Linked DNA regions of Saccharomyces cerevisiae S288C. The protein of the gene in region 1 binds, or shares a complex with, the protein of each later gene. Each region holds a gene or a part of one and is shown on either strand. Other genes may lie near its edges.

Region 1 (8,323 bases):
GAGTATTGACCTGGCATGGAAAAAGAAACGCACAATGAGAAAGGGGATATATACCCTTAAATTGACGATAGTTAAGGAGATTTTGAGGTTTGTGTTACTAATAAACCAGTAAGCATACTCGTTGATGACTTTAACGTATATTTGGTTTCCAAGGGATATTGAAACCGTATCTTAAGGGATGACGATGGTTGGTTAACATTCCCTAAAAGACAACGTATAAAAAGGTTCAACAAAGCGTCCGTTACCATTATGCTTTGATGTTCTCAGTACGAAAGTTTACGGTTTTTTTTTTCAATTGAGGAACATAAACCAAATAGATATATTATATCAACGTTATGAAACGAGTTACTGGAGTTTTCTTAACACTTTTGAGATTTTCTCAATTTGCATCATCGGTTTTGGTGATGTCACTTTTGGCGTATGCCATCCACGCCTATGGAAATAGAGGTAATAAGAAAACCAACTTCACATTGGCAACAGGTGTCATTAGTGTGTTTTATCTGATTGCCTTAGGTATTTTGTGTCTGGCCCTACCCACATTGATCTACATAGGAATGTACTTCTGTGCCGAATTGATCGTTTGTATGCTATGGCTAGCAGCTTTCGTTGTTCTTGCCAAAGCTCAAGGTGAACGTAGCTGTAGCAACACTAATGCAGACGGATTATACTATAATCCGTACAGTGGCCAATATACTGCTGACAGTCATAGAAGAGCATGTAATTCTTCTCAGGCGGCAATCGCCTTTTCTGGCCTTTGCTTTGTACTGTTTTTGATCAGTGTGATATTACTGGGAATTAATGTCTTAACACCTATCAGGAAGCGTTATCAAACCCAAGGAATGTGGAGAAGCGGCGCTTCTATGGGTACAAAGCTCCATAGGTGGAGCGGACTAGCTTTAAGCGAGCCTTTTGAAGAAACAGCTGCTTACGATAACACCAATGTTAGGACCGGTGATGTCGAAGCAGGTGCAGGTGATAATGCTGCTTACACATCTGAACCGAATGGCGACGCACGCTATGCAACTAATGACCCCAATGGGCAGTACCATACTACCACCACCAACACACGTTACACCACAACAACAGCGGACCCTAAGACGCGTTACACCACCAACGATCGTAATCCTGGTTCTGCGAATGTCGCTAACAGTGCAGTGGACCAGCACGCTTACTCTACGGATGAGTCAGGTGATCGGTCTTATCAAGAAAAGGTCACAGAAGGAGCTCACTCTGGCGCTATGAGTGGTAGCACTGCAGAACCAAACAGGAACGTCAATCAAATGCCATAAATTCAATGATTTCCTTTTTGTTCGTCTATACCCTTCACATACTTTTTCTTTTTCTTTTTCTTTTCTTTGCTTAACGATTTGAATTGCTCCTGTTCTAATAATGGCGTCGTCTTTTAGAAAATCCTTATCAGGTGTGAATAATGCTTAATTTTTTTTATATATAATGATTTACTTTTATTACTTCTTATTTTTATATTTTCCTCTGTCAAATATGTGACTGAAATCTTCCAATTTATTAATATTAAAGTGTGACTATCACTTGAGTTTAGCGACAGTCTCTAACGCCTCGAATTCATCGACATGGGAAAATTGGAAAGGGTATCGTTTTTACACTTCCCATTTTCTTCCAGCAAAAATGATCGGCCCAGAGTCTAGTTAAAGCATGATTAATTCTCCCAGGGAATTTTTTTGCTTTACTAGTAACAGTAGTTCTGGAAATTATTAAGCGTTCTTAAATTCTGGGACGGTCGTGCAGAATATTAAGATAGGTGATATTTACAAATATAAAACATTCATCGTTCGTCGAAATTGGCTATTCATTCTTTAAAATCGTTTTGAGGTGGTCTACCATCCTCACTTTTCATATACAAATCAATTGCAGCTGAAAAGGCAGCAAACCCGGCACCACCCATTAAGGCAGCTTGTGGTCCAGCTTTGTATGCCAGCCCAGCACCGGTAAAAAACCCTGCGGTTACTCCGTTGTAAATATCATTTTTAGCTCTAAGTGACTCTATGACACACTCCACCCCAGCATATATCATACCAATGTAGCCAAAATTCTTAGCACTAGAGTAGGATTTTTTACCCATATCGGTAAATTGAAGTTTCATTTGCTGCCGGAAAGGTAAATCAGATATTTGCTGAACTGTTCTTGATATTCCACCCACACCTATATTTCCCGCAGTTGCAGTTGCTGCTGTATTTGCAGGTGTAGGTGTATGAAGAGGTGTATCATATGCCATTGACGCCATGAACAGGCCTAAAACACCACCCAGTGCAAACCCTGTTACACCACTCACAACTGATTTTCCAGGACAGGAAGTCATGAAGTTCATGATCATTTCAGCACCCCGTTCACCCTGTTCTTCCGGAGTTAGTTCATTATAAGGTTTCTTTTGAGCTGGACTTATCTGCTCCAAACCAAATCCTGTGTACACCATCTTCGTATAAAGTATTTAAAATCACAATTTCTTGATCTTATTTGGCAGCTATCTCTACTATCCCGTTTAGTACTATCCCGTTTAGTAGTGACAGAAAAATAGTATTTTGTCCTGAAAAGCTTCGGATTTTATATGTACGAAATGGATCCGAGGAAATGCTGTCTGTTTTATTAGAGAATTAAGTTGACTGATGCATCGTCTTTCTCTTCAGTTGTAAGCTCGATGCCATTTTATCAGTAAGACCAAAAACCAACACATAACGGCGTACGAAAATATCAAATTGTCACCCGGTATAGATATACTTATAGAGATTCAAGAAGGAATAACTATTAAAAGTACGTTGCAGATAAACATAAGCTATTGCAGCGTCATTGGAGCAACGTTAGGAATTCATAATGTAAAGGTGTCCTTGTAAAAACGTAACCGCTCATATTGTTTTATCTTTGACGCAAGTATTCGATTTTTTGCTCTTGCATAATCTGTCTCCAAGACATTTCTCTGTAACATATCATTGCCCTCATCATGACATCTTTCCTGATTGCTGTTCATGCGTTTTTTAGAATTGTGAAAATTGTCGGTAGACCTGCTGCTTCTTTCCACGCGATTTACATGAATGCTCGGTTCGCCGTTTATGCACAGACTAGTGTCAGTACTGTCGAACTCGGTAAGGTTTCTATCTTCCATATCTACGTCACTAGTATTATCACCTGAAAACATGCTTCCAAAGGAGCTTGTTTCAGTGCTATCCCCCCTTTGCGTATTGAGGCAGAACTGAGACCTTGTTGAACGGTTTTGATAGTCAATGTTTTTTTTATTTTCGTTGCTAACACGTTCACTGGTAGTAGCCAACTTAATCCTTGTTCTAACATTTTTGGAATCCATCAAATAGCTATACTGCTTCATTGAATCGATCAATCTATTTAATGATATTTGTTCTGACTCATCATCCTCTATTACGCAATGTAAGTTTAACTTTGTTTCAAATAGCGCTCGGTTCAATTCTGAATCAAATATGATTGTTTCTAGTTCATAGTATGAAGTGGCACTATTATCATCACTTTTACTTTCTATTGTCCTAAATGCACCCATTCTTAAAATTTTATCTTCCAGACTTTTCAAGGGATCGACCACAATTGCGACATATGGATCTTGGAATCTCTGGTTCAAATCCTGGGTTTGGATATCTATATTACTTAACCAACAGTCGTAACCAGGATGTGAATGGAACCAGCCAACAACATTCAGTTTAGCGCCCTTGTAATCTCGCCCATCACCACCGTCATTATGATTATACATCTCGTCGATATATTGAACCATATATTCGTATGACTCCAATTGTGCATTTACGCGAGTTTCTGTCCCTACTACGGGAAGATTGAAACAATCCATTACAACAATATTATCTTTTAATGTGAACCCCATTAATATGCCCATGATTTCAATATTTCCTCCACGAACTGCATAATGGGTGATCTTTTCACATGATAATTTTGATATAAGTACGTGGGTGTAACTCGGAATATCTGTACTACTTTGTTGTTTTAGTTTAGTTTTGAGCAAGGAAGATTGGCTTAGCGCATGAAATTCAGGTTCTTGCGACGGCTTGAATCGCATACTTGATAGCGCTATAGATTCAGTTAGTTCATCTTCCACGGTGTACCTTTCCTTTAGTAGTTGTCGTAATTCCTTTACAGTCTTATTTGAAAGTGACATGCTGCCTCCTGCAGTTTTTATTGATTTTCGATCGTTGTTATTCATTTTTAGTTTATTTGAAAAACCCTTTAATAAGAGCGCTTCCTGCGTAGCGCGCCTTTCCTAAAGTTTCAGCTGAAGCATGGCTCCCTGAGGAGAACTGCCTAGTATAATGGATAACTCGAAGGAAAAAATATCAAATGCTTTTTTTAGATTAAAAATAATGGACATATAAACAACTTTACTTAGTACACAATAAAACGCTGAGAAGAACATACACATATGTTTAATTTTCTTTTCTGACGGCAGAACTAATTTATACAAAACAATTTTATTGAAGCTCAAGCACTTGCCTCCGCTTCTCTTTTTAACCCACCAATAAATTCCAAGAATTTTCCAATGTTAACATCGATACCGTTCTGGTAAACAAAAGTGCTTGATAAGTAACTCGACAGAAGAACTTTCAAATAGCTCTCTGGAATGTTTTCCAATACGGACTGAGGCCCAGCAACATCAATCAGAATTTTTGGAATTATTTTATCCAACAATAGGTAGTTTCTTAATTTTAGATCATTGAGCCACAACTCTTGAGAAGCAACTAGATCGTCGTTCAATTTGTTTATAGTGAAGGACAATTGGTTTGAAATTTCTGAAATGTGGGTTCCATTTAGTTGATTCAAATTCCATAACTGACCAAACTCTAATTCAGCATTTTTCTGAATTCTTGACTGCACTTCTACAACGTACGACTTGTACAACGCAGACCTCTCACCACTAACATCTCCAATAAATTTGTGCACGAAGTCGTTATCGTTAAGCGCTAGTGAGGCCAACACTTCCATTGATGAAGATGTGACACCACCTTTGTTTGCAGAAGCATCTTTGAACAGAATACAGCCATGTTCCTCCAAAGCATTTTTAGCAGGTTGCGTTATAAATAGATTGGCACCCTCCACAATATATGGAATTTTACATTTCCCAGTCTTTTCGTCAACAAAATAATGTAGATTATTTAGAGTAATTGAGTTTGGTCTACCACCGCATGGAACAAAAATGTCGACATGATCCACAAATTTGAAAATTTGAGTATGAAAGGTGTTTCTGAAGGTTGTGCCGTTAGCTACAATTGTACCATTTGGTAGCATGATATCCATTGCATCCACAGAAACAAAAAATCCGTTGTTTGATAATTTGGAAGTGTCGAAATCGGAAATCATTTTCCTTTCATGTGCCAAGCGGCATAATTCATCTTTATCTAAACCTTTAGGATCACACAGGACACCTGAACCGTCCAGAATTGCCAAATAACATTCGTTTGGCGAAGATAAAAGAATTTCATTGGATCCCAAATCACCATCCGGACCACCAGTTTGGAATTTGTAAACAGTAGAATTTGTCAAGTTTAAAGTTTCGTAAATTTTATTAACATAAGCACGAACACCCAGAGAAGTCATACCATATTCGTCATGGGGAATACCACCCAAAGATGGGGATTTTCCAGTCAAAAATGATTTCCACCATGGGCAGTTCCTCACACGAGCATGGTTAGTTGCCCAATCCACGAAACCAGCAGTTCCTTCATCTGGGCCAAAAAATAATATTTCCTCCTTTGGTAAAAGGTTGACATAGTTTTCCTTTAATGGATCGTTGATTAGAATGTCAATCATTGCATCCACATATTGGGAAAAGGCGACAAATGTCTGGTCATGTTCTACCAATCCTGGGTTCAATAAGATGACACCTTTAGAGCCACCCTCTGGAATATCCTTATTTTTACGTTGCTGAGTAGAGGCCAATTGATAGTTCTCATCAATAACGTTCTTGGAATTCAAATCATAAATATCCTGATTCCTGGAACAGACTATACGAATACCGCCCCTTGCGATATCTCTGAACCTGATATGGAACCCTTTGAAAGTATTACCAACGACAAAAAATATACCATAGGGTGTCTCTGGATATTCGAATTTTGTCATCACCAGGGAAGGATCTAATCTGAATGATATTGCTACTTTTCTTGTAATAAAGAAATTTGTCTTCAAAATAGACTTGTTGAAGATGTTCAGTGTTTTCAGGATCAACAAATCAGGTGAATCATTTGGAATGAATTTATTCAAGTAAGCTTCGAACTCTTGGTCATTCTTAAAAGGCTCCACTTTTTCCAGTCTTTGAAAAGATAATGTCTTCTCCATATCTTTAGTACTATTATGATAATAGTGAATTTGAGCAAAATTTTTATACAACTTGGAAATTATAGTGTAATGCTTCGACATGATGTTGATAATAGTTTGCTGAGTTAAGGTTTCATTTCTTAACTTTCTTTTTAGGTTTTCTACAATCTCCAAAAGAGTAGTATCATTACGCTTAATGGTGATTTGAGATAAAAGGTTTTGATAATCAGAGCCTAAACGATTAACAAAATGGTTAATGAATATAGCACCAATATGAGCATATATAGCTTCTTTGGGCGAGAATTGACGTCTCTGGTAAACCTCATGGAAAGAATTGTTTGGGATAGCGTATAGCAATGAAGCTTCTCTTTCAACCTGTTTCAATGCTGCCTCCACATCGTGAAGTAGAACATCTTCCAATTGCTGGTTCTCGTTCAAATAAACGGAAAAGATAATGATGTCATCATCCTTAACATTAAACGACTCTAAATAGAACTTAGAAGGTTTCAACTTGTAATAGTGGAACAAAGAGTTCAAAGCAGAGTAATAACGCTTAGTGGTGAATCGCTTGTAAGCGACTAATAACCTAATTTCATCCTTATTTTCTACGGAGCGAGTAGTCTTAATGACAGGACCTTCTCTTTCTTTAACCAACTTAAGTAAGAGACCGTATAGTTTTTTATTTTCGTTCGACGAAACTTTGTACATGGTCTTATCACTAATCGATTCAATATCACCTTTCAGCAAATCCTGAGAGGAAATATCTACGCCGGCTGGATCATCATTAGGGTAAACACTCTCATAAACAAAAGTTAGCTTTAATTCGCTTTCTGGAGCCCAAAAAGAAACTAATCTGCAGTTTTTTTGAGACTTGTTATCCAGGAAAAGGTCATCAATTTCGGAATCTAATTCATAAGGTGGACAAGAATCATCCATTTCAATCCTATTTTTTTTGATGGTATCCTTACCATGCTCCAAAGTATCGTTTCCGACGGCGTCACTAGCAAATTTAAAGTTTTTTTGCTGAGAATCGCTTATGCTGACACCAGTATTAGATTCCATAAAGATGGCATGATTATCATTAGTTATAATTTTGTTTTTAATGCTGAATAGCCTTGGCTGAATTCCGTTGAATTTGGACTTCGCAAAGAAATCTAGCTTTGAAGCATACAAAGAATGTATGATATTCGAGATTAATTGGGGAGATTCTCTCGAGAAGAACAAATCGTCAATACCCAATGAGTTATAAAACCAATCTACTTCTTGTTCGATCAAATCGTCGGGAATAAACCCTTGCTGATCTAGCAAATCTATCACTTCCTCTCTCTGCAGGTCCTTACCGGGAAAATCAAACACGTGATAGTCCGACATGGATGATATTGATAAAGAAGCAATATCTGGTGTGTTCAGTGAGTTTAAAGCACCGCGATTTTTGTTATCAAAAAGCATTCTTTATTCTTTTTATTGTTGTGAATTTAATATCCTTGTTTTGTATGTTTTGTTGAGATCGTGACAATCACAAAAAGGATTATACCAAAAGGTAATGTATTTTTTAGAAACCGGTTGTTCTTATATAACAAGAATTCTGACTAAACAGCAGCAATGAGTAAACGCTTGTCAGTGTTGATGTCGACAGTATAACTTTTGTTATTGTTATTGATGCCGCCGTTGACTCGTAGTTACTTGTCCTACTCAACTATTAATGTGTATTTTTACCCCAATTGCTCCTTGTTGTGGCACGCCGTCAGGCAGTATTAAATTCGGTCCTGCGGAATCGCCGCACACATAGCCGCCAGATGGGTAACCCTTTTCAAGCGGACTTGGTTTTCCGACGGTAAATAAATAAATAAATGACAGATTAGATTAGATATAGTCGTATTTTCACGTATATGTACCTATGGTTACAGTGCTGTAAGTATTACTTGCGTAAGTAAAAGCTGGAGCATATGGCCAGTATGACATTGCTATTCTTCCAGTTACGTTCGCTGATGCAGGCCGCCAATGTGGGCGT
Region 2 (8,906 bases), on another chromosome or scaffold:
AATGAGTAACAATAAAAAAGTAAATATGAAATTTTCATTTCAGTTAACTTACACCTTGAAACCCTTAGATCTTCTTCTACCTCTAGCTCTTTCGAACTTTCTACCGGTGGACAAGATTCTTGGAGCCTTACCCTTGTGTGGACCCATACCGAAGTGTCTGACAGCTTCTCTGGAGTTTCTTGGACCTCTCAAGATCAAAGTGTTTTGACCCTTTGGAGCTCTGACAGCTAATTGATCCAAAGTGATACATTCACCACCAGCCTTAACAATCTTGGCTCTGGCACCAGCAGTGAATCTCAAAGCAGCAACAGTGGTCTTTGGGAATTCAAAGATTCTGGCATCGTCAGTAACAGTACCAACAACGACAACAGTCTTGTTAGCAGCACCTTCTTGCTTCAAAGCTCTAGCAATTCTAGAGACAGAAACAGGTGGTCTGTTGATCTTAGACAAGAACAAAGCCTTCAAGACAACCTTGTTGAATGGAGCATCAGTACGACCTAAAAAAAAAAAATGAAAAAATGTTAGTAACTAATGGATCGAAGGACCGGAAAACAATAGTTTTCCGTACAAATATTTCATTAAATTAGAAAAAGATTCTGCTCACTGGTTTGCAATACCGCACAAAACGTGATGTAAAAGAAACATATCGTTCCTCAAATATACCCGTTTGCACTCGCAGAATTTTAATACGTCTAGCTTCTTCTGGTATGACTATTTTAGCCAGATTCAGTTCAATAAATTGACCAATAATTTGTCACATCAGAAGCAAAGCTAGATGATCGCGAAAAACATTAACCAATATTTTTCAGCAAACCATAACGAATATTTATAGAAAACCAATGAACTTACCAAAGTTCAGGATAATCTATTATATTCAATGTAACAGAATCCTTCTAACCATAATTGGCGTTGGTTAAAACCCTTGATATTATTCTTGAACATACGAGCTAAGAAAGTGTATAATTTGACTAACAATTTCAAGTAGACATTGTCAGACTTTGGAGCAGTTCTGTGACCAGATCTCTTGTGTTGCTTGGAAGTGTGATCGATACCCATTGTGAATCCGTAAGCTTGATGATCTCTTCTTGTGATGGATCCAAAATGGCAGAATTGATGAATCTTCAACTCAATTTGTTTTAAATTATCTCATACAATATTCCTTGAGGAACCAGAATCTCACGGCAGCACCAAGTCAGAGAGAGTGCGTGTGTTGGAGCGAAATTTCCACTGTAATCTCCAGCAAGAAAAAAATTTCATTCTGAATTAGAAAAAAAAAAAAATAGAATTAACACCCATGCATTATTGTCTTCGGTAAAAAAATTCATATCCGTACACCACATAAGATATGTAGAAAACAGTCTTCGAAATTATGAATTCTTGGCATGACGCTAAATATGTATATATGTATATATGCTTTAGAGTTTTTAAAGCTAGATCGACTATATAGCCACATAGGTATCAACGAAATACCCCCCCCCCCCCCTATTGGAACGCTTCTGAACGCTGACCTTAAAACTTACAAAGCTTCGCACCAACGCAAATATGCCTTGATATTATATAACATGCCGCACCTGCCGCCATTAACGCTGAATTGAATATTATAAAATGGTTATAATTTGCAACTGTACCTTTACCGATTAAGGTACCGCCGATAGGTAAAACCGGAATCGTTACCAACGCTTGCAATAGATATACCGTTGCATAACGTTTACCAAAATCAGTAGTTTTAGATATCTGCCCGATGCAAACGGGTGTCAGTGATAGGATAGAACCCGTCGAAAACCCCCACAAACAAACGTACGCCCAAAGTACCTTTGTATTACCGCCAAATGGCAGCCACATGACAAAATTAAATAAGGCAGCCATTGAAATGGTGATAATTTCTACATTGAATCTCCCGATGAACTTATCCGCAAAATAGCCTGGTATATACCTTCCAAGTATACCAACAGCATTCGAAGCAGTGATCATGGTATAAGCAACATTTTCTGTGTTTCCTCTTGTCATAGAATAAGATGCTAAATATGTAGCGCATGAAGTTAGGGAACTTTCTGCAAAAGAAGCGCCTATTGCGACGAACAAGAATTTTCCTTCCAAAAAATATCTCCAATTGAACACAGAGGAAATGTACCACTTTGCTACTTCCGCCTTGGATTTGAATGGTTGAACGACCGGTTTAGTTCTTTCTCTAGCCAAAACTGAAGCACAAATGAGGCATGTTAAACAAATGAATGATAGGATTCTAATGGCCCATTGAAAGCCCACTTCTTTATATAACTTTCTCAGCATAATAGGGAAAACTATACCCCCTATTGAACCCCCCATGGTACTTATAGATGTTGCTATACCCCTTCTTTTTAAAAACCAGGTTGCAACAGTTCCTATCAGAGGAGTCATTAAAATTCCCGTCCCAAGTCCAGAGCACACAGAAAATGCCAAAATGAACTGCCATACGGACTTACAATTTGCCAATGCGAATAGTCCTCCAGCATATATGACTGTACCTGTGCACATCAAACCAATACTACCATTTCTATCAAAATAGCCACCGGATAATATACAGCTTAAAAAGCTGATAGCTAAGTATAGGGAAAAAATCCAAGATATTGTTGAAGAAGATATATTTGCCAATTGATGTTTAGAGATATATGATTCAATAGCCCCTAAGGAGTTGATTAAGCCAAAAACCGGGACCAGTCCCATAAACGCACCAAATACTACCAGCCATGCTTTTAACCCACCATCTGGGAACTCTCTGTCATCATCATAAATCAAAGAGGCCTCTGGGGTGTTTAAAACTCTTGAGGTGACGTTCGTTAACTTATTAACGTCAAGATCTACTTGATCGCTGTTCTTTTTCAAAATCGCGTCCGCTGCATTGAAGTTTGGATTATATCCTGAACTTGGGCCCTCCCTTGTCTCCAGCTCCACATCGTGATCTCTCGTAGATTGCGCTTCGTGATCCTTTGAGAACAGGAACCTCTTGGAGTTAGCAATTATGGGAATGTTCAACATCCTCCGTTTGTTAAGTTTATGAAAAGCTCTTTCAATATGGTTACAAATAAAACAGAATCAATACTTTCGAGGTTATTTGCCGTGTGCCAAGGAATATTTTCCTTCTCTGAAATAGGCCTTTTGTTATATTTTAGATTCGCCTGTGACTCTTTGCCATCTCGCCTGTTAATTACCGCTCATAGGCACGGCTGACTAATTTGAAGCTATCGAAATTGCTATAAAAGGAAAACTCTCTTATCATCAAGATCAGGCGGATCTCCTGAGTTTCTGACCTATAGAGCCCCAAAAAATGGGATGACATGTACATATATAGTGGTCAACGTTAATATGAGTGGCCTCCCAATGGTACAGATGAAAGAAAAATTTGTTTTTGGCTGTACGGAATTGCTTCGTATAGAAGAAGGTCTTATCTTTCATACGTGCTTTTATGTACTGGTTCTTGCATCCAATCATCCTTATTAGTGTTTTCGTGCGGTCAATATAGCTCATTATGGAGTCGTTTATAATAAATTGACTACCCGCTGGAGGTTTGAGTTTTTTCTTTCTAAAAGACATTCAAGATCATACGGGGGGTAGACAACTCAGCCGTTTCCGGTAGTTATAGTCCATCAAGTGTTACCATAATACGACTGTAAAATTAGCCAATTCCTCGATGTCAAACATCCATTTATATACTGAGAAAATCTTTTATAGATGCCGCTTTTACTGCGACTAGAATTTCATCTATCGCACAATAGAACGTTTTCTTCTAGGTTACTTGCTTTAGATAACTAATTCCTCGAAAGCAGTGACAGTGATCTTACACTTTCTGGATTTCATTATGGGAATGTCGAGTTTGAGATTCGAGTTTTATATGATGGCAACAAGATTGCACAAACTTACTTTCTTACCTTTTTCAAATTTGATCTCTTAATACACACTAAGTATATAATGAGTATAACATTTGTGCATGTATGAGAGTAGTGGCCCATATATGATAACACTGGCGAAAGTACTCTGTAGCTAAATGCCAGGTTGGCACGTTTTTCTCGTTTGCCCAAAGTGCAGCTCCTTTTCGAAGAAATTTATCTGGTCCTCGCTGAAAAATATTATAAGGGGAGCTGGATCAATTGTTTTGTGATCTCTTTGACTAAATGAACTATTGAAACGTTTGACGCGGTAAAAGGCAAAAAGGTTCACTATACACAAAATGTCTGATGAAGATAACAATTATGACGACTTCATGTTATCGGATGACGAAGGCATGGAGTCAATTGAAATGGAGGAAGAAACCGATGATGAAGACAAACAAAACATTGAAATAAATGAAGACAATAGTCAGGATGATCAAGATCGAGGAGCGGCACGACATAAGCAACATGAACAAGGCACCTTCGAGAAACATGACAGAGTAGAAGATATTTGTGAAAGAATCTTTGAGCAAGGCCAAGCTCTCAAAGAAGACGAACGATATAAAGAGGCTCGCGATTTATTTTTAAAGATATATTACAAGGAAGAATTTTCATCTGACGAAAGTATAGAAAGGCTCATGACATGGAAATTTAAATCACTTATTGAGATATTACGTTTAAGAGCCCTACAACTCTATTTTCAGAAAAACGGTGCACAGGATTTAGTTCTACAAATTTTAGAAGACACGGCAACTATGTCGGTTTTTTTACAAAGAATAGACTTTCAAATTGATGGAAATATATTTGAATTACTTTCTGATACTTTTGAGGTATTGGCACCCAAGTGGGAAAGAGTATTCTTGTTCGACATCGAGAAAGTTGATAGGGAAAATATGATCTGCAAAATTGATTTCCAAAAAAACTTCATGGATCAGTTTCAATGGATTTTAAGAAAGCCTGGCAAGGATTGTAAACTCCAAAATCTCCAGCGTATAATTAGAAAAAAGATATTTATTGCCGTTGTTTGGTATCAAAGGTTAACCATGGGGAATGTATTCACCCCGGAAATTTCTTCCCAAATAGAGATTCTTGTGAAAGATAATGAATGCTCTTCTTTTGAGGAAAATAATGATTTGGAAAGTGTATCTATGTTACTGCAGTATTACATATTGGAGTATATGAACACTGCACGAATAAACAATAGAAGGTTGTTTAAGAAGTGCATTGACTTTTTTGAAATGTTGATATCTAAGTCGCTTACTTTCTCACAAGAATCTGGACTGATGGTAATATTATATACCTCTAAGATTGTATTCATTTTAGACTCTGATTCAGAGAATGATTTATCCTTTGCGCTGATGAGATATTATGATCGGAAAGAAGAGCTAAAAAATATGTTCCTCTATATCTTGAAACACTTGGAAGAGATGGGAAAACTTCGGGAGAGGGATATTACCTCTTTGTTTCACAAGTTCATTCTTAGCGGCTTCATTTTCACGAGCATGATTCTAGAAGCAATTAGCACAGACAAGATTAATCCTTTTGGTTTCGAACAAGTGAAGATTGCGCTAGGCAGCCCTATTGTTAACGTATTAGAAGATGTCTACAGGTGCTTCGCACAACTGGAACTAAGACAGCTGAATGCAAGTATATCTCTTATTCCTGAATTGTCCGTAGTACTAAGTGGAATTATTCAAGATATTTACTATCTGGCGCAGACATTAAAGTTGTGGAGAAAAATTGCACGATTATACTCCTGTATCTCCATAAGTGACATTATAAGTATGCTGCAAATAAGTGATGACAATGAAATGACAAGAGATGATTTGCTAACAATTTTAATGAGGTCAATAATGAAAAATAGATCGGTTGTGTATTTTAAGTTAGATTTGACAAGTGATTTAGTCTATTTCGGAGACGAGAATAAAGTCATGCTACCGAGATGTTCTAAAGAAGAATTTCGTCTTATGATCTCTCCCAAGGATGAAGAAACCACTGAAAAGGCCAGGCTAATAGATTTTGAGTACGTTAACGATGTCGCGATTTATAATAACCCAACAAGAATAAGAACCAAATCCTCTAAAGAATTTTTCAATACATTAAGAAAATCTAGGGAAACTGTAAAATTACCGAGGGTAAGCAACCAGTCGAATGAAGATACTTTTCTACCATCGTATATGAAGTTTTCCAACAAGTACCTCGAGCTGTGCAAACTGGCCTCTAACAATCTGGAATAGAATGTCGATCAGGCACGTTCGTGTAAACATTACGATTTTGGAATTCCACTTACATAAGATAGCTTCTTTGTAAAAGCCGTTCGAAGATTTCGTTTATAGTGATGCTTTTTCTGGAGAGATTTAAGATAATAAGGATATGTGGAAGGAAATGAAAATGTACACCTACAAAGCGTTGATGGTATGGAAACTATCGACCATAGTTTGTTAAACAGGAAATATTTGCTTGAGGGTAAAGTGTTCTGATTCATTATACAAAGCCCCTTGCTTATAAGAAAAGAAACCAAATCAGAAAAGGAGATTATTTCAAGGTAGGCATCGAAATGGCAAGTAACCAGCACATAGGAGCTTCAAACCTAAATGAGAATGAGGCTATATTAACCAACCGCGTTGCTGAGCTGGAAAGGCGTATGTCGATGTTTGAGGGTATATTTCACGCGTTAAGTAACCGTCTCGATCTTCACTTTAAAAAATATGATGTAGTGGTAAACTCCCAACAGCAACAAATCAACGAACTGACCGCGTTTTTATCAACATTGCTGAATGACCAACAACGCCACGCTGAAATTCTCAGTGAAAAATTAAGCGGAACGTTGCATGGGGTGTCAGCTACGTCAATATCCTTAAGCCAAACTCTTGACCCACAAGGCTTCACTGATGGAACTACGGCACCAGGAGCTCCTAGGAATTATACTTCAGTGCCTATGAATAATGATCAAACTGCTCATCCGCAAAATGAAGGAGCTGTTAGTAATGAAACACTTTTTGAGGACATTTTGAATGGAAATTCACAAGAAAATGATAAGAGTCAACAACAAACTAACAGCTCAAATTCTATAAGCCAAGAAAATAATAGCACCAACCCTTCAGTGGACACTCGGTTCAACAAGCCGCAAAATTATAATTCCAATTTAGTCCCATCCTTGGAAGAGTATTCAGCAAATCCACCTAACAATGATGGTGGCCAAAGTCAAGGACTGTACATAAGCAGCAACTCTTCTCAATCACGGCAGTCTCCTAATCTCCAGAAAGTTTCTCCTAACCATGAAAATGCGGTTGAATCAAATGCACAAGAGAGCGTGCCGACATTTGAGGAGGAACAGTATGAGACTAAAACAGGATTGAAACGGAAACGAATAGTCTGCACAAGACCCTTCGAATTTATCAAGTCACCACACTCTGTGATGGAGGTTTGGAAGGAGTATACAGAAGGTGTTAACGGGCAGCCTTCTATAAGGAAAATGGAAGCTCTTTATCAAACGGCATGGAGGCGAGATCCAGCAGTAAATAAAAGATATTCGAGAAGAAAGGTTCTTTGGAAAGCCATTCAAACTGGCCTTAATCGTGGGTATTCATTAAACTATGTTGTTGAAATATTAGAAAACTCAAGATATGTTAATGATAAACAGAAGGTTAAACAACCTATTGGTTGGTTATGCCACAGTTCTCATATTCCAGAGACTTTGAAGTGACATTTGCTTCTTGTGTATTCACCTTTATCCCAAATTAGCCCTTGTAACACTTATGCTTTTCTTAATAAATTAATAATTGGACTTTCCTTTAAAGTGGGTTGTATCTGTAACAATAATCTCTAATAATATCCTATAAAACTCAGAAGTCAGCCAACAACAATTGTATACGTATACATATCTATATAATATGCCTTGTACTTTACGCTCTTGAATTTAGAATAGCTGAACACCTAACTGAATTTAAGTAAAGGATCCCAAGCGTGAGATATTTAGGTTTACTCAGTTTTCTTATCTTGCCTTTTGATTATCACGTTGAGTGTCGAAGAAACCTGTATTCATCCTCGGCTTCTTGTATATGATTCTAAAATAATGTGTGAAAAAAAAAATAAAATAAAAAAAAGAGGAAAATAATATAGAATAACTATTAAGTTTCATTAAAAAAAAACCATTTGAATATACGACCAAAAACGTTACGCTTTCATAAAGTGTGAATAAGCAAGGGAACTATACTTGAAATATGGGGGCAAAGAGTGTAACAGCCTCTTCTTCAAAGAAGATTAAAAACCGGCATAATGGGAAAGTGAAAAAGAGCAAGAAAATCAAGAAAGTACGGAAACCACAGAAGTCTATATCCTTGAACGACGAAAACGAAGTAGAGATTTTACCTAGTCGTAATGAGCAAGAGACAAATAAATTACCTAAAGATCACGTCACGGCGGATGGAATTCTTGTATTAGAACATAAATCTGATGATGATGAAGGATTCGATGTCTACGATGGACATTTCGATAACCCTACTGATATTCCCTCGACTACTGAAGAAAGTAAAACGCCTTCATTAGCAGTGCACGGGGATGAGAAGGATCTTGCTAACAATGATGATTTTATCTCTCTTTCTGCTAGTTCTGAGGATGAGCAAGCCGAACAGGAAGAGGAGAGGGAGAAACAAGAATTAGAAATTAAAAAAGAAAAGCAAAAGGAAATCCTTAATACTGATTATCCATGGATTTTAAATCATGATCACTCCAAACAGAAAGAAATCTCGGACTGGCTAACCTTTGAAATCAAGGATTTTGTTGCCTATATCTCACCAAGTCGTGAAGAAATTGAAATTCGTAATCAAACCATAAGTACAATAAGAGAGGCTGTCAAACAGTTATGGCCAGATGCTGATTTGCACGTGTTTGGATCATATTCTACCGATTTGTATTTGCCTGGTTCCGATATTGATTGCGTGGTAACGAGCGAACTTGGTGGTAAGGAAAGTAGGAATAACTTGTATTCGTTAGCAAGCC
Region 3 (7,583 bases), 750 kb from region 1:
TTAATTCTTAACACATGTTTTCTTACCATTATGCTATCATCGTTATAGTTGTTGTTAATTTGTTGATAAAATTCGAAGTATGAAGAATTAATACTGACCAAATCTAGAATGGCATCCTTGACAGATGCAGATGAGTCGTTTAAACGCCGGTGAATAGTTTCTTTAACCATTGGGTTTGAAAGTATCACTTTGTCTTTTGAAGCCAACATCGAGAGACATTTAATAGCAGTCGATCTCAGTTTGATTTTATCCTTGGCTAGAAGTGATAATATCAACTTCAAGTATGGATCGTATAGATTCAGTAGTTCAAAGGCGTGCAAAATAGAAAAATAATCCAATTTAATCGTACTAAAATCTGCTTCTCTGTTCTCTAATTCGGGTCCAAGTCCACCATCTTTTATCTGCTCCAATATTTTTTTCAATTCATTGTCAACGGTTATAATTTGTTCTTTGGCATCCTTTGTATACTCTTCTAATATCAAGATCGTACCGAGCCTTAAATTCCAAAGGAATCTTGTTGCAGAACGACGGCATTTGATCGTTTCATTATATGCAATGCATTCTTCAAATGATTTAAAAAAATGCGGCAAAGTTTCGGGGTAATTAATCATTTTAATCAAGTTGTTATCTTCATGGTCTCTAGTTGAGCATTTAATATCAAAAATTGTAGAACCAATATTCCCTATAAGTTGTAAACATATTGTTTCAATGTTTGCAGAAACTTGCATGGATGGGCTGTATACACTTAGAAGTCTCTTTAACAAAGAGCTTAGTATTTTTTCTGTTACAGGCCACTGAGGGGAGGAAATTAGCAATAATAGATCTTGGACAAAGTTGTCAATTACATACCTTAAAGCGGACGGGTTCTTGAAAAACCTTTCCAGTATTGTGTCATTTATATGCTCAACAATGTTAAAAAGAAATTCTTCTTGCTTTTTGTATTCGTTCTTTAATAGATCAATATTCTCTGGTGCAATATCCTTCATCTGATTACAGAAGGAGTAGCAATTAATATTCTCTAACATTGACATTAAAGTAAAGGTAAAATCAGTGATATAAATGTTTTGGTTACCAACTTTTCTTAGTTTTTTTTGTATTCTCTTAGTGGGAAGCTTTTCGATATGAGATAGTAGTTCTTCTATAATAAATCCTCTCTGTTGATCAAAACTACCGAATAATGAAACTAAAATATCAGAGCTGATTCTCTTCACATTATCCCAAAAACTTTGAAATTGGATATTCGTAGTTGCTTCAATGTCATTATTCATCAGCAAGTCGCTAAAGATGTACACAAGCTTTGCCGTGACATTATCATCCAGAAAAGGGCCGTTACGTATGTATTTCGGTAGCAATTCTAGGGCCTCCTGGAAAGTGTCAAATTCTATCTTCAAAGAACCATATTCAATTGTTAATATTTTTAGAGATTCTATCAAGTCGCTTAAAAAATTCACCGGTTCCATGATGTATGATTCCCGATGTAAGTTGCTGTCATTCTTACCCAGTAAAAAAATATTGAATAGTACAATTGTAGAAAGCAAAGCAATATATCGTAACATAGAATCATCTAAACCCATCTTTAAAGAGCTTTTACTGAACTTTATATTACAAACCATCACATCAAGCAATCTCAAAAGCCATGTTATTTCGATTGAGTTCGATAGCTGTGGGTTATCGGTAATATTTTTAATTGTCATTTGTAATTTGGTTAAGCAGTTTGTAGTTAAAACGAATTTTTTATTTGGCAACTGGAGCCAGTACTCGATATTTCCAATTTCAGCAGAGTTTTGGTCAAATCCAACAATATCTAAAATATTTTTAAGATCATTCAAATATTGTTCCGCTAAATTCGCTTGTGTCATGGTTACACCTGTTGAAGTTTTGGTTTTCTTGTTGGAAGAATTGTCGTTGAAACTCAAGTTACCAGCATTCGAAGTCACACTTTCGAGCTTATGCTTTGCCTCCGGTCTGCTTACTATTTCACTTTTTTTCTCGATGTTAATGGAATCATTCAACCCTTTATGGGTTGATAGAACACTCTGCGCTAGCGGTGATAATCCTTCCAAAAAGTTAGTTGGGACATAATCAACAGAATTGGCTGATGACGTAAAATTACTGGGTCTTTTGAAAACAAGCCTTTCTTTTTCGGCCTCATTCTTTATGGAAGAAGTAGTGCTGTTAGCTGTACCTAGAACATTTATATTAACATCTCTGCCATCATCAGCGCTGGTAAAGATAGTCTTGTCAAAAGGTAAAGAAACCCGCATTGGGGCATTTACTAGCGCGGCTAACCCATCCTTAGGAACCAGATAACTCAAAGGCAGGTCTTCTAGGGCCTCTATTATTCTTCCAGGAATATTCTTGTCTTTCCCTGGGTACGACATTGCTAGCCGCCAATTCTTTCAAAAAATGAATAGTTATAAGAACAATACTCTCACAACAAACGAAAAGCCTGAGCACACAGGAGCAAACCAATACACAAAAGAAAAATTGCTATAAGTGGAGCACTCGAATGTGACTTGTTGTTATCGAACTCTAAGCCTGAGCTAGAAAAAACTTTAGTTACTAAACTGCATCGTTCTTTTTCAGCCAGTGTTTTTTTTAAGCGAAGTGGCGGCAGTTTCGCGTTTAACATAAAAGCAATACCACTTTTACCTGTTCGGGCAAAAGGAATAGATATTTGCATATTTGGCAATGAATAGTGCTAATGATTAGGTCATAAAAGCTATTTGTTAACAATGTTCTTGCTTCCTAAGACCTTACTTCATAGTATAAAAATTGGTAATAATGCTACAAAGAGTGCTATTTCGGTAACATCAAATATTTGTCAACAATACTCTATACATCACGAAGTCTACGGCAACTGCGCAATAACACAGTCAATAATTCTATAAATTAGCAGTTTATTGCAATCCCTATTCTTCGATATGCAGATAATAAGATCCGCTATGTCAGACCTTTTGATAGCGAGGATATGATCAAGTTTATAAGTCATACAAACATCCCATAAATTGGAAATACACTCTTCTCTGAACTCTAGAAAAGCATCACCCACTGGTAATACTCTTGGTGGCCCCATCATATTGTCATTAGGAAACAAAGAATGTCGTAATAATGAGAATAAGTTGCCAATTGTCACAGGGCTGGTAATTTTAGTTTGAACAATATTGTCAAATGTTCTATACATGACCCTGTTTAACGCATTTAATTTAGAGATCCAATGCTGAAGCGTTCTGCATATTGAGAATAGGAATGGCTTCCTCATAGATAATTTGAAAAAATCATCGGTGAAAAAAGTAAAAATATATCTTTGTAGAAATGCTGTTTCTTGAATTTCGGCAGTGTTCATATTTGCTGCTTCTGTTGAAGTTGAATAAGCTAAAAGCCTGGTCATTTGCAATATTTTGTGCTTTACATTGGAAACAAACAACCAGGGATCGCATTTAGGCTTTCCATGAGTCACCTCGTTTCTGGTATTTCCTGCAGAATTTAGCTTTATTCTTATGCAAATTTTATTCAAGCCCTCCAGAAGATAATATGGTTCCGCTATTGAATTAAAAATATGCCCGAACACAAGTTCATTTAAAAAGCTATCCAAAAAGCTTCTCTGTAGTAGAGATTTGGTGCTCATTTTACTTTGTATGATTTCAGTGAATAGCATTGGATATCGTTTCGAATCATACAAAGTTAGCTTACAGTACTGTTCATAAACTAAATCGTTATTTTGAGATGAGTCATTTAATGCTTTCAAGTGAGACGAAAGCAAGCAGGGAATATAATCGAGTAAAAGGGCATGGTAATTGATTTTGGAACTCTTCAAATATGTTATTAAATCTTGAACTAAGTTATATAGTTCGGTTAAAAACTTGGAATCATCAGTGGGTATTTTGATACCATACCAAGACTTAACGAAATTTTGGAAAATTAAGGCAATAAAGGTATTTACCTGTAGGTCTGGCAAAGCTTCTATGCTTCTGATTTTCTGATGTAATGAATTTGGGTATATAGAGAAACATAAATCCCTTAGATACTCAACCGAATCTTTTTCAAATTCACTCTCAAACGAAACATCATTACCAGAATTTTTCGTATGACTACAATCTTTCTCCCAAATATCTCCACTCGATTTAGAATTCAGTCGTGTATGTCCTTTTTTTGACAGAAAGCCTTTATATTGATTTGAGGCATTTGGCCTTCGGTACTTGGTAATTAAACTGGAATTGGTGTTGTATAAAATGGTAGGCATCTACACATATAGAAATAAAGCCGTGCAGTATATATTGACTTCCCTGGCTCTTATCGCGTTTGCTTTTTCTTATATTATTGTTATCTTGCCTTTGGTTCGTTGTATCTTAGGGAATGCGAAAATTATTGAGCAACTCATCATCAACTTTTTTAATATGTATTTATATTACGGACAATAGTAAACAAAGAAATAAAAAACAATAACAGTGATGACCTACGTAGTACAGATAAGAGAGAATGGTAATGAGGGAAGAAACAATAAAATCGCTAGAAGATCCTTACAAATATCACTACAAAGAAGAATGGTTAAATACTAAAGATCCCGATGAACAACAATTATTCGAAATATTTGCCTTTGGAAACATTAAAGATCTACCGGAAAACATAATCCTAACATCATTAATGCGATCAAAACTGGAGAAATTAACATTGGTAACATTAAGCGAAATATATAATGAGTTAAGTTACGAGTTAATTAAAGAAGAATGTCAAATTGAAGACGATGGTATCATCGAAAGCCATTTAATTCAGCTACAGAATATTTTTAAAGCAGAGATGGATTCAGTCAGTAAATCTATGAAATTTTCAAGAAGATTTGACTGTAGAGATGTGTACTGTCATGAAAAGGAACTGACTATAATTAAAAATCCGCGAGTGACGAAAGAGTATTTAGTTCAAAATCTTCGGAGCTGGGAAACAAAGCTCAAACAGAATATATTGGAGTAAATCAAATATGAAAAAGGCATAATAATGACGATATTAGGAAGTAACAAATAAATAAAAGAAAAATAGAAGAATAAATAATAATAAATAAATACTAGTAAATATGGCAAAGGAATATACCGGCGGAAAACAAGGTAAAAGCAAAAGATAGGAGACACGTCGTTGCTATAGATGTGCATGTTACATGACCGAACAAATGATTCGTGGTGATTTATCTACTTCTTGGCTTCAATCTTTTGACTGTTGTCTTTCTCGGAAGAATCCCATAGACTTTTTACTAAACCAACAACACCATCATTCTCGGTTTCTAGTTTATAGATTCCAAAAAGGGAGACCGCAGAACCAAGGCCCAACATATACATGGCGTACTTGTGCCAAACACCATAAACTCTTTCAGAAATATAATCGGTGATACAAGAGTTAAATTCCATGTAACAATATCCCAAAAGCATGACAGAAAAGAAAGAATCAGCTGCAGTGGATAACGGACCGGTTGTCAGCATAGCCGTCGTAGCCAATGGAACGACGGACAAGGCAAAGATTTTTTCCATATACCAGTGGTATGAGCCCTCTAATTTATTCTCAGGGGGGGGGACGTAGGCATCATTGGGAGTGCCCCTAACACCACCTGGTTTCTGGGGTAATACGGGCAAAAATGGGATAGTTAAGCTCTTCTTAGCGGTAGACTGGAAGGCCCTTACTGTGGCAGTATGGAAAATTCTCCTTCCAGTCATAAATTTCATGGATCTTGGCAACATCATAGCTATTATAAAGCGCGTAGGAAGAAAGTCGAAAGCGTAGGAAAGATCAAGAAAACAACAGAATGGGAAATTAGATACGACTATCTTCCAAAGCAGATATTTATCCTTCTATCTTTGCCTTAAAGCGATCCGCAGTCGGTCCCCTGATCGCTCGAGGGCTTCTCCTTATATAACTAAATTGCGCCTGTGTTCTTCCGAAGGTGCCCCGGAATAAAAAAAACAGCAGCGATTGGCTCAATGCTTATGGCACATAAGGTGTTTATATATTCTAAAATAACATTTAACGTGCCGTATTATTCTTTTACAGTTATGTGATCATCAAGAACACGGATGCACAATGAAACATCCTCGCTTGGTGTTTTACTCATATAGTTTATTTATTCTTTATTTACTTACTTACTTGGTGCGTTTTTTTTTTATCTATTCACTTCAACAATTCCTCGATGATACGGTTGGCTGTGTTGTTGTCATTGGGGTCTAAGGACTTGACGCCTAATCGTCTCAACACTTCCACAATCTTGTCCTTTTCAAAACCTTGAGATTCAAACTCGTCAATCAGATCGTGGTCAATCCCATATAAATCAGACTCCTCTACATTGCCTTTTTGACCATTGGAAGTTTCACTGGCGTATAACCTCGTCCATAGTGCAGCAGTCTTATTAAAAGATTCTCTATCCCGTAAATAGTGTTGTGCTACTTCTGCATCTTGAGGATCGTTAGGCTCTGGAGATTGTAGTAGCGCCTGTAGCGAAATCAATGCAGACTTTAGTGTTATCACTGGCGACCATGCATTCTTAAGAATATCTAAACAAATGGCACCTGTCACTGATGATATATTTGGATGGTATACTTTTGTGTCGAACTGCATCTTTGGTGGTTTGAATGGATACTCCATAGGTACTTCGATATCCACGACAAATTTGCCACCCTCGTAAGGTGTTCCAGGTGGGCCCAAAAATGTGCCTTTTAAATGGTGGATATCAGATTCACTCACAAATTCAAGAGTAATGTGAGCTGCAGGATCATCCTTCACAGCTTGGATTTCTTTCATAATTCTCTTAGCCCTAGACATCGCTTACTTCTTACTACTACTACTTATATATATACCACTTGTTTTTTTTAATGTATCCAACCACTAAATTACGATACTTATGTCGTCACACTTGCTTCAATTGACTTTACCTATACGCCCGCGATCGGAAGTTCATGCATTCAACTGTCATCTCATTGTTTTTGCCCCTCCAAATATTTCAGATGGAAGAAAATGTAACAAAAAAGGATATTAATGTTCGTATTATGTGACTATTTTTTTTTTTTTATGGATAGTTATCCAAATTGTTAGTTATATGCGTTATTATGCTACGTATTTTTCCTTAGAGTTCGTATATTTTAATTTAGTTCCACGTCCTTATTAGTGTTTTGTGCAAATACATCGGCTTCATCCTCATCTTCTTCTTGGTCCATGTCCTTGAATACGCTTTCATTGGGGATTCTCTTCATAATTTCAGGTTTATCAAACAATGGACCAATCTTATTAATCCACCTTTGCCTTTTATCCAGAAGGGATTTTAAACTTGAGTTTGCAGCCTTTTGTTGTGCTATTTGAGACGTGGTTCCTGTGTTCACATTATTTGAAGCTGCTGTATGATGCTTCTTTCTTTTCTTGGGTACGCGAATACGTTTGACATAAGCCTGGTCGATTTGTTTGTCTAAATCTTCTAAAATAGATGAGTATTCCTGCCATGCTAGTTGTCTTTCCACTAGTGGAATCAATTGGGCTTTCCTCTTTTGGTTTTTCTTGGTCACTTGTTTTAAAGTGCCTTGCAATTCTCTTAACTCTGCGCTTATTTCGTCGTC
Region 4 (5,294 bases), on another chromosome or scaffold:
TGCATGTGCTGTGTACTACATGCTGCCTTTCTTCAATTTTTATGTATAGACAAGGAGGCCAGAAAGATATTATAAACAATGTTTTTTATGTGAACTTCGAAGTACTTTGAAAATCAACCCTCCCATCTTGCGAGACGGTCGCAATAAACAGTGAGGGTCTGTTGGCAAGCTCAATGATCTTTGAATTTACATCGTTAGCCACTTGTTTCTCTAAATTGACACCGTTATCATTCACGTTGCTCTTCTTAACGTGGCCCTTGGACGTTAGTTTAGTTAGAATATTATCTTTGGATGTTGTCATTTCATGCGTTTGAATCAATATTGTTCTTGGACCTTTAATCTTCATAAAGTACGAGTCGACACCATAAATGTATCTTTTTTCGTACTGGTTACGGATCCAACTGCGCATTCTTTTGAAAAATTGAACAGTATGTCCGTAAGCAGATTTTAGCGTTTGGTTCTTAATGAATTTAGGTGCCACCGTATCATTACTTGAATCTCCGACGTACGCGCCTTCCACGTGTAACTCTTGTCTCTCCACTGAATTTGCAATATCCAATTGACTTTGGCCGTTGATGGCCAAAATGTTTCTGGAATTAACCAGAATTTTGTCGCTTTCATCAATTAACTCAATTGAATATACCAACCCACCTCCACATACTAACACATTTCCTCTCCCATTCAGAATTTGAAATTTCCGTGGTAGTTGTGATTTTGATGAGTTCGAGACTAAAGACCTTGCAGAGGGAAAGATAGGCGATTTGATTTCCAGACTGGAGTTCTGTTCAAATGCGATAATTGAATCCTTGCCAAATACATTCCAATCCTTTGTCCCGGTCAAATTCAGTACGGACAAGCTTCTTGAAGAATCGAAAGGTCTTCTCGATGTTTGAAAGTTTGGGGCAGCCAGAATTTCTAAAACGGAGGATCCAATAATTCTATGAAACAATGAAGATTTGAATGAACGAAATTTAATCAGGTTTGACCAAAAATTCAGCCATTTATAGGAAAGGGATAAATGGTTCAAATTGTGAATGGAAACTAGGCAATCCTTTTTGATACAAATTGGAATATCTGGTTGAACAGTGATAGATGCAATTTTACCATTTTCGTCTACTAGCCTGAAACGGGAAGTCGCAATATCCTTGCTTAAGTTCTCGATATATGTCCTTTCTTTAGTTACGACATTACTCTCCGTCTTGGCCGCTTGTGGGCTCAAAAGAGAAATTGATCTCTGCCAAACTCGAGTATTCACCCTTGGGCTTATCATGATGGGTGGATATCCTTTTCTGTGCTTCTGTTTTGTTTATCTGTATCCGTTTATTCGCCAGCCAATAAAATGACTGGGAGCACGGGACCTTTGAAATTTTGCCCTTGTTAGTAAATCGTTATAAAAATACTTATATAGATATTTTATAGAAAATGAAAAATAAAAGAAATAGCCAATATGTAGGTATATCGAACTTAAAGGTCACCTGTCGAAATCATTTCCTTCTTCTCTCTTTTTCTTTTCAATCAGATGTTTTAGAGCGGTCAAGCAACGTAAATACCAACGTGTGCTATCGCATTAGTCGTTTTGTGATTGGCCATGCTGCTGCTTCACGTACGTAGCACTACTTAATGAAAAAATACGATCATTGTTATTGAATGCAGAATCTGCATGGCTGTGGTGTGACTTGGAGAAGGTATCAAACCCTTTTATGATGTTACCAGAATAGTGTGATTTTGACCCATGGGCTCCCCCATGACCTGAATGGTTGTTATTACTATTGTGTGAGAAATACTCGGTCTCTTTATCATATATCTCTTGTTGTAAGTTGTCAAAGGTATCTTCTTGCTCTCTTCTATCTTGGAGGGACTTTTTTAGTTCCGCTTTCAATGCTTCATAACTTTTCAGCTCATCAGTCATTTTCTTCTAGGCGTAGGTTGGTAACAAACGGAAAGATGATGGAAAATGGCTGTTCTCTAAAGATGTTTATCTTACGTATATTCTTTGCTTTCGTTGTGGCTTTACACACCTTTAATCATTAATTTAATGGCATAGTCGGCAAGTTGTTGAAGGACCTGGGTTAATCGCCTACATGTGAGGTTTTTTTAAAAATATCAATTACATTTAAAAAAGGAAAGCAGTAGTACCAAAAATCGGGCAAAAAAAATTTACCTAAATAAAGGAATGCATAAATGAAGCCGTTTAATCTTTGTATTTAATGAGAATATTACATATGAAGGTCTCTTGAGAAAGCATCAATAGTGGACATTAGCTACCTTTTAAATAAATGAACGGGTATGTCACCCATGGGTTCAAACTCTTCATCATCCTCGTCTTCACTGCGTACTTCATCGTATTCGTAACCCAAATTTTCTTTTATGTAATAGTGATCTTTCTTACTTTTCCTCTTTTCCAAAAGGTCATCGAATTCGTCCTCTTCCATATTCATTTGATTGAATTTGTTAAGTATTCTTTGTAAGAATGGTGTGTTCTCCCCAGCAGTTGCCGTGGTATTAGCATTCTTCATAGTATTCCTTGGGGGTAGCAAGGGAGGACCCGATGTTGGAGTTGATTCTGAACTACGGCTTGGAGCAATATTTTGCATACGTTGTGACCGATTAGGCGGAGGGTTCGGTTTACGATTGGGTAGAGTGTTATTTATGTTGCTATTAACATTATTATTGGGCTTACTAAAAAAATCGTTTATACTCTTTTTTCCCTTGAGCATATTTGGTGAATTATTTACGTCCACAAATGTCTGTTGAATTCTTTTGGTAAAAGTAGAGAGGTATTCACTTGGGTTCTGGTTACCTAATTTCTGTTGTCCATTTCGGGGCAGTGTATCTTTGAACTGTAACTCTAATTGTTTTAATTCTTTTTGGGCGACCTCTAATTTGAAACTAAGTTCATTGATTTCTCTGTGTTTTGCAGCTAATTTATATATTAAATCTTGGTCTGTTGAAATCGGACTTGCGTGGTCGCTCACGGGTGACTGATTTGTCGTAGATCTTTGCGGACTTGATATAGGTATAGCAAGTCTTTTGGGCTTTAAAGGTGTCGTAACCCTTGGTGATTTTGATTCAGGCTGCACTTCATGTTGTTTTTGATGCGGCTGTTGCTGCTGTCCTTGGGAGTGTTTATCGACAATCGACAGCTTATGTAATTCAATTGGTTGACTAATTACACGCTGGTCTTCTGACATTACTTTAGGGCGTATGTATGGATGTATTTTGTATTGCTTTTGGCTAGTTAGTAGTATTCCTCAATCGTATTGTTTTTGATTTTGAAAAAGCTAACGATAAAGGTCAGGAAAAAAAAAGAAAATTGTATGTAAAGGAATGTCTGGAGAGAGTTACACAGGAACAGAAAGGTCCAGCAACGGTTTCTACAACCAATCATGGATGTTGATATAGGATGTTATTTTGAAGAGAAACGCTATGACGACAAACTGTTAGACTTCATCAGATATGACGTTAAAACACCTAAAAAGACTAAATATATACTACAAAGGCCTACGGCGACAGATGAAGAGAGTGTACGATTACAAAGGTTTTACCAATTAGGAGTAGATCTAAAATTGAAGTATTCCAAGCGGAGGTCATTGAAGAAGCAAGGGCGGATCAAGAATGCTACTGAGGAATTGCTGCGATTAGCCAATGAACAGTTGAAACTTTTCAACAGAATAGTAGAAAGAGAAACCAATTGGATAATTTATCCGCTGTGGGTAATGGCTAAACAATTAATTCGTCTGGCAAACGAATCTAGTGAACTTAATAAAGACTCAATTGAGGAATGTGGACGCACTATCCATAGAAGCTTTACTATATGCCTCAATGATAGGAACCCAAGATTGAATGAAAATAAAAAAATCGGGTGTTATATGTTTGCTAATCTAGAGTTTTCCATCTACCATCGGTTAAGTAATAAAGATATGATTAAAAATTTAGTGAAAGTCCTCGAGAGCAGAGTGAACGCCCGGGATATACCACCGTTGAATAAAAGCCTGGCAATGGAACATAAGTCTCAAGTGGTGTTGTATAATTATTATCTAGGTCAATACTACGGATGTCTGGAAAACGATCACGAACGCGGGTTCTTCCATTTAAATGAAGCATTATTGCAATGTCCAATGCTATATGTGGAATCTACCGGCAAGTTCGTCTTACAGGGCCAAATGGAAAAGATAATGATACTGCTGGTTCCGCTTGCTCTTTTAACTAAAAGGTTGTACCCTCACTGGGATCATCCAGTAATCGCCGGAGTAATTACTAGGAGTAAGCGCTTAAGTCAAGTTTATCCGACATTAGTGCGTAGCGTAATCTCAGGGAACCTGTCACTGTACGAGGCTACCGCAGCAAGCCATGAAAGATTTTTCCTTTCGCAAGGATTGCATGTCGTCATCACATTACTTCGAGAGGTGGTCTTCACTCGGTTGGTACAACGATGTTGGCAATGGGGGAATGATCGGAAAAGTATCATGCCCTTGAAAATTCTTCTGGCAACAAAACAACACGATAGTTCTGCCAATGAGGACGAAGAGGAGCAGTTGGATGCCCTAGAATGCCGTCTAGCAAGTGCTATAGCAAGTGGGCTTTTGCGTGCTTATCTTTCTCACTCCAACCGCTGCATCGTTTTCAGTAAGAAGGAGCCCTTTCCCCATAGCAAATGATAGAAAAATAGTCAATAATTGAACGAAGAAAAAAAAAAGAAAGTTTGTTCATAAAAGAATATCATATTATATATATATATAGGGTCGTATATATATCGTGCGTCTTCTTCCTTCTCTAAGGGTAAAATTCCTTGTATTTGTTATAATAGTAGTAACTGCCGAGCCCACCCAAAGCTGTCAAAACGACAGGGACAGGTTTAGTGAACCTGGAAGGCATGCCTCTTATGACACCAGCACCAAGTAGTAAGGTCGATGCACCCAATGCCATTTCGAGCCCACCATCTCTATTCATATGTAGCAAGTAACCGGCAATCCCATATACACTACCGAATACTAAGCCAGATACTAGAGATGGAATGGAGCCCTTACGGTAGTATCCCATAAGGCCACCGGCTGTAGTCAAAAGACTCAATGTATATGCTGGATGTTCCATAGTGTGATCTGATGTTCCTTTCTCTCAAACTTCGTTTCTGTCTTGTCTCCCGCTGTTACCTAATAACTTCATGTGATCTGCTCCCCCTTCTCGTTAAATACCACCTTTTCATCAACCCCGTAGGGCGCGACACGTCTAAAATATTAACCTCTGAATACTTATTGGGTCAAAATGAATGTTGATAACTTTCCTTTACAAAAAAA

The links.
Region 2: RRI1 (region 1) and RRI2 share a complex: the UniProt entries of both Saccharomyces cerevisiae proteins name them as parts of the COP9 signalosome-like (CSN) complex.
Region 3: RRI1 (region 1) and CSN9 share a complex: the UniProt entries of both Saccharomyces cerevisiae proteins name them as parts of the COP9 signalosome-like (CSN) complex.
Region 4: RRI1 (region 1) and YJR084W share a complex: the UniProt entries of both Saccharomyces cerevisiae proteins name them as parts of the COP9 signalosome-like (CSN) complex.

What each region holds. Positions count from the first base shown.
Region 1 is NC_001136.10:66,158-74,480, forward strand, and holds RRI1 (COP9 signalosome catalytic subunit RRI1), read right to left. Parts: upstream 4,163-8,323; coding exon 2,840-4,162; downstream 1-2,839. Other genes in the region: YDL218W (uncharacterized protein), read left to right, coding at 336-1,289; translocation channel protein TIM22, read right to left, coding at 1,826-2,449; GDH2 (glutamate dehydrogenase (NAD(+))), read right to left, coding at 4,483-7,761; serine/threonine protein kinase PRR2, read right to left, coding at 8,289-8,323. UniProt on the Saccharomyces cerevisiae protein: Catalytic component of the COP9 signalosome (CSN) complex that acts as an regulator of the ubiquitin (Ubl) conjugation pathway by mediating the deneddylation of the cullin subunit of SCF-type E3 ubiquitin-protein ligase complexes.
Region 2 is NC_001147.6:93,347-102,252, forward strand, and holds RRI2 (Rri2p), read left to right. Parts: upstream 1-4,204; coding exon 4,205-6,142; downstream 6,143-8,906. Other genes in the region: 60S ribosomal protein eL18 RPL18A, read right to left, coding at 49-497, 945-1,056; MCH4 (Mch4p), read right to left, coding at 1,510-3,015; YOL118C (uncharacterized protein), read right to left, coding at 3,262-3,570; MSN1 (Msn1p), read left to right, coding at 6,463-7,611; non-canonical poly(A) polymerase PAP2, read left to right, coding at 8,129-8,906. UniProt on the Saccharomyces cerevisiae protein: Component of the COP9 signalosome (CSN) complex that acts as an regulator of the ubiquitin (Ubl) conjugation pathway by mediating the deneddylation of the cullin subunit of SCF-type E3 ubiquitin-protein ligase complexes.
Region 3 is NC_001136.10:816,093-823,675, reverse strand, and holds CSN9 (Csn9p), read left to right. Parts: upstream 1-4,479; coding exon 4,480-4,968; downstream 4,969-7,583. Other genes in the region: cohesin-loading factor complex subunit SCC2, read right to left, coding at 1-2,381; NVJ3 (Nvj3p), read right to left, coding at 2,852-4,243; succinate dehydrogenase membrane anchor subunit SDH4, read right to left, coding at 5,181-5,726; E2 ubiquitin-conjugating protein UBC1, read right to left, coding at 6,151-6,798; histone acetyltransferase NGG1, read right to left, coding at 7,116-7,583. UniProt on the Saccharomyces cerevisiae protein: Component of the COP9 signalosome (CSN) complex that acts as a regulator of the ubiquitin (Ubl) conjugation pathway by mediating the deneddylation of the cullin subunit of SCF-type E3 ubiquitin-protein ligase complexes.
Region 4 is NC_001142.9:580,347-585,640, forward strand, and holds YJR084W (uncharacterized protein), read left to right. Parts: upstream 1-3,386; coding exon 3,387-4,658; downstream 4,659-5,294. Other genes in the region: YJR079W (uncharacterized protein), read left to right, coding at 1-1, 707-893; AIM24 (Aim24p), read right to left, coding at 86-1,270; EAF6 (Eaf6p), read right to left, coding at 1,568-1,909; ACF4 (Acf4p), read right to left, coding at 2,262-3,191; TMH11 (Tmh11p), read right to left, coding at 4,774-5,091. UniProt on the Saccharomyces cerevisiae protein: Component of the COP9 signalosome (CSN) complex that acts as an regulator of the ubiquitin (Ubl) conjugation pathway by mediating the deneddylation of the cullin subunit of SCF-type E3 ubiquitin-protein ligase complexes.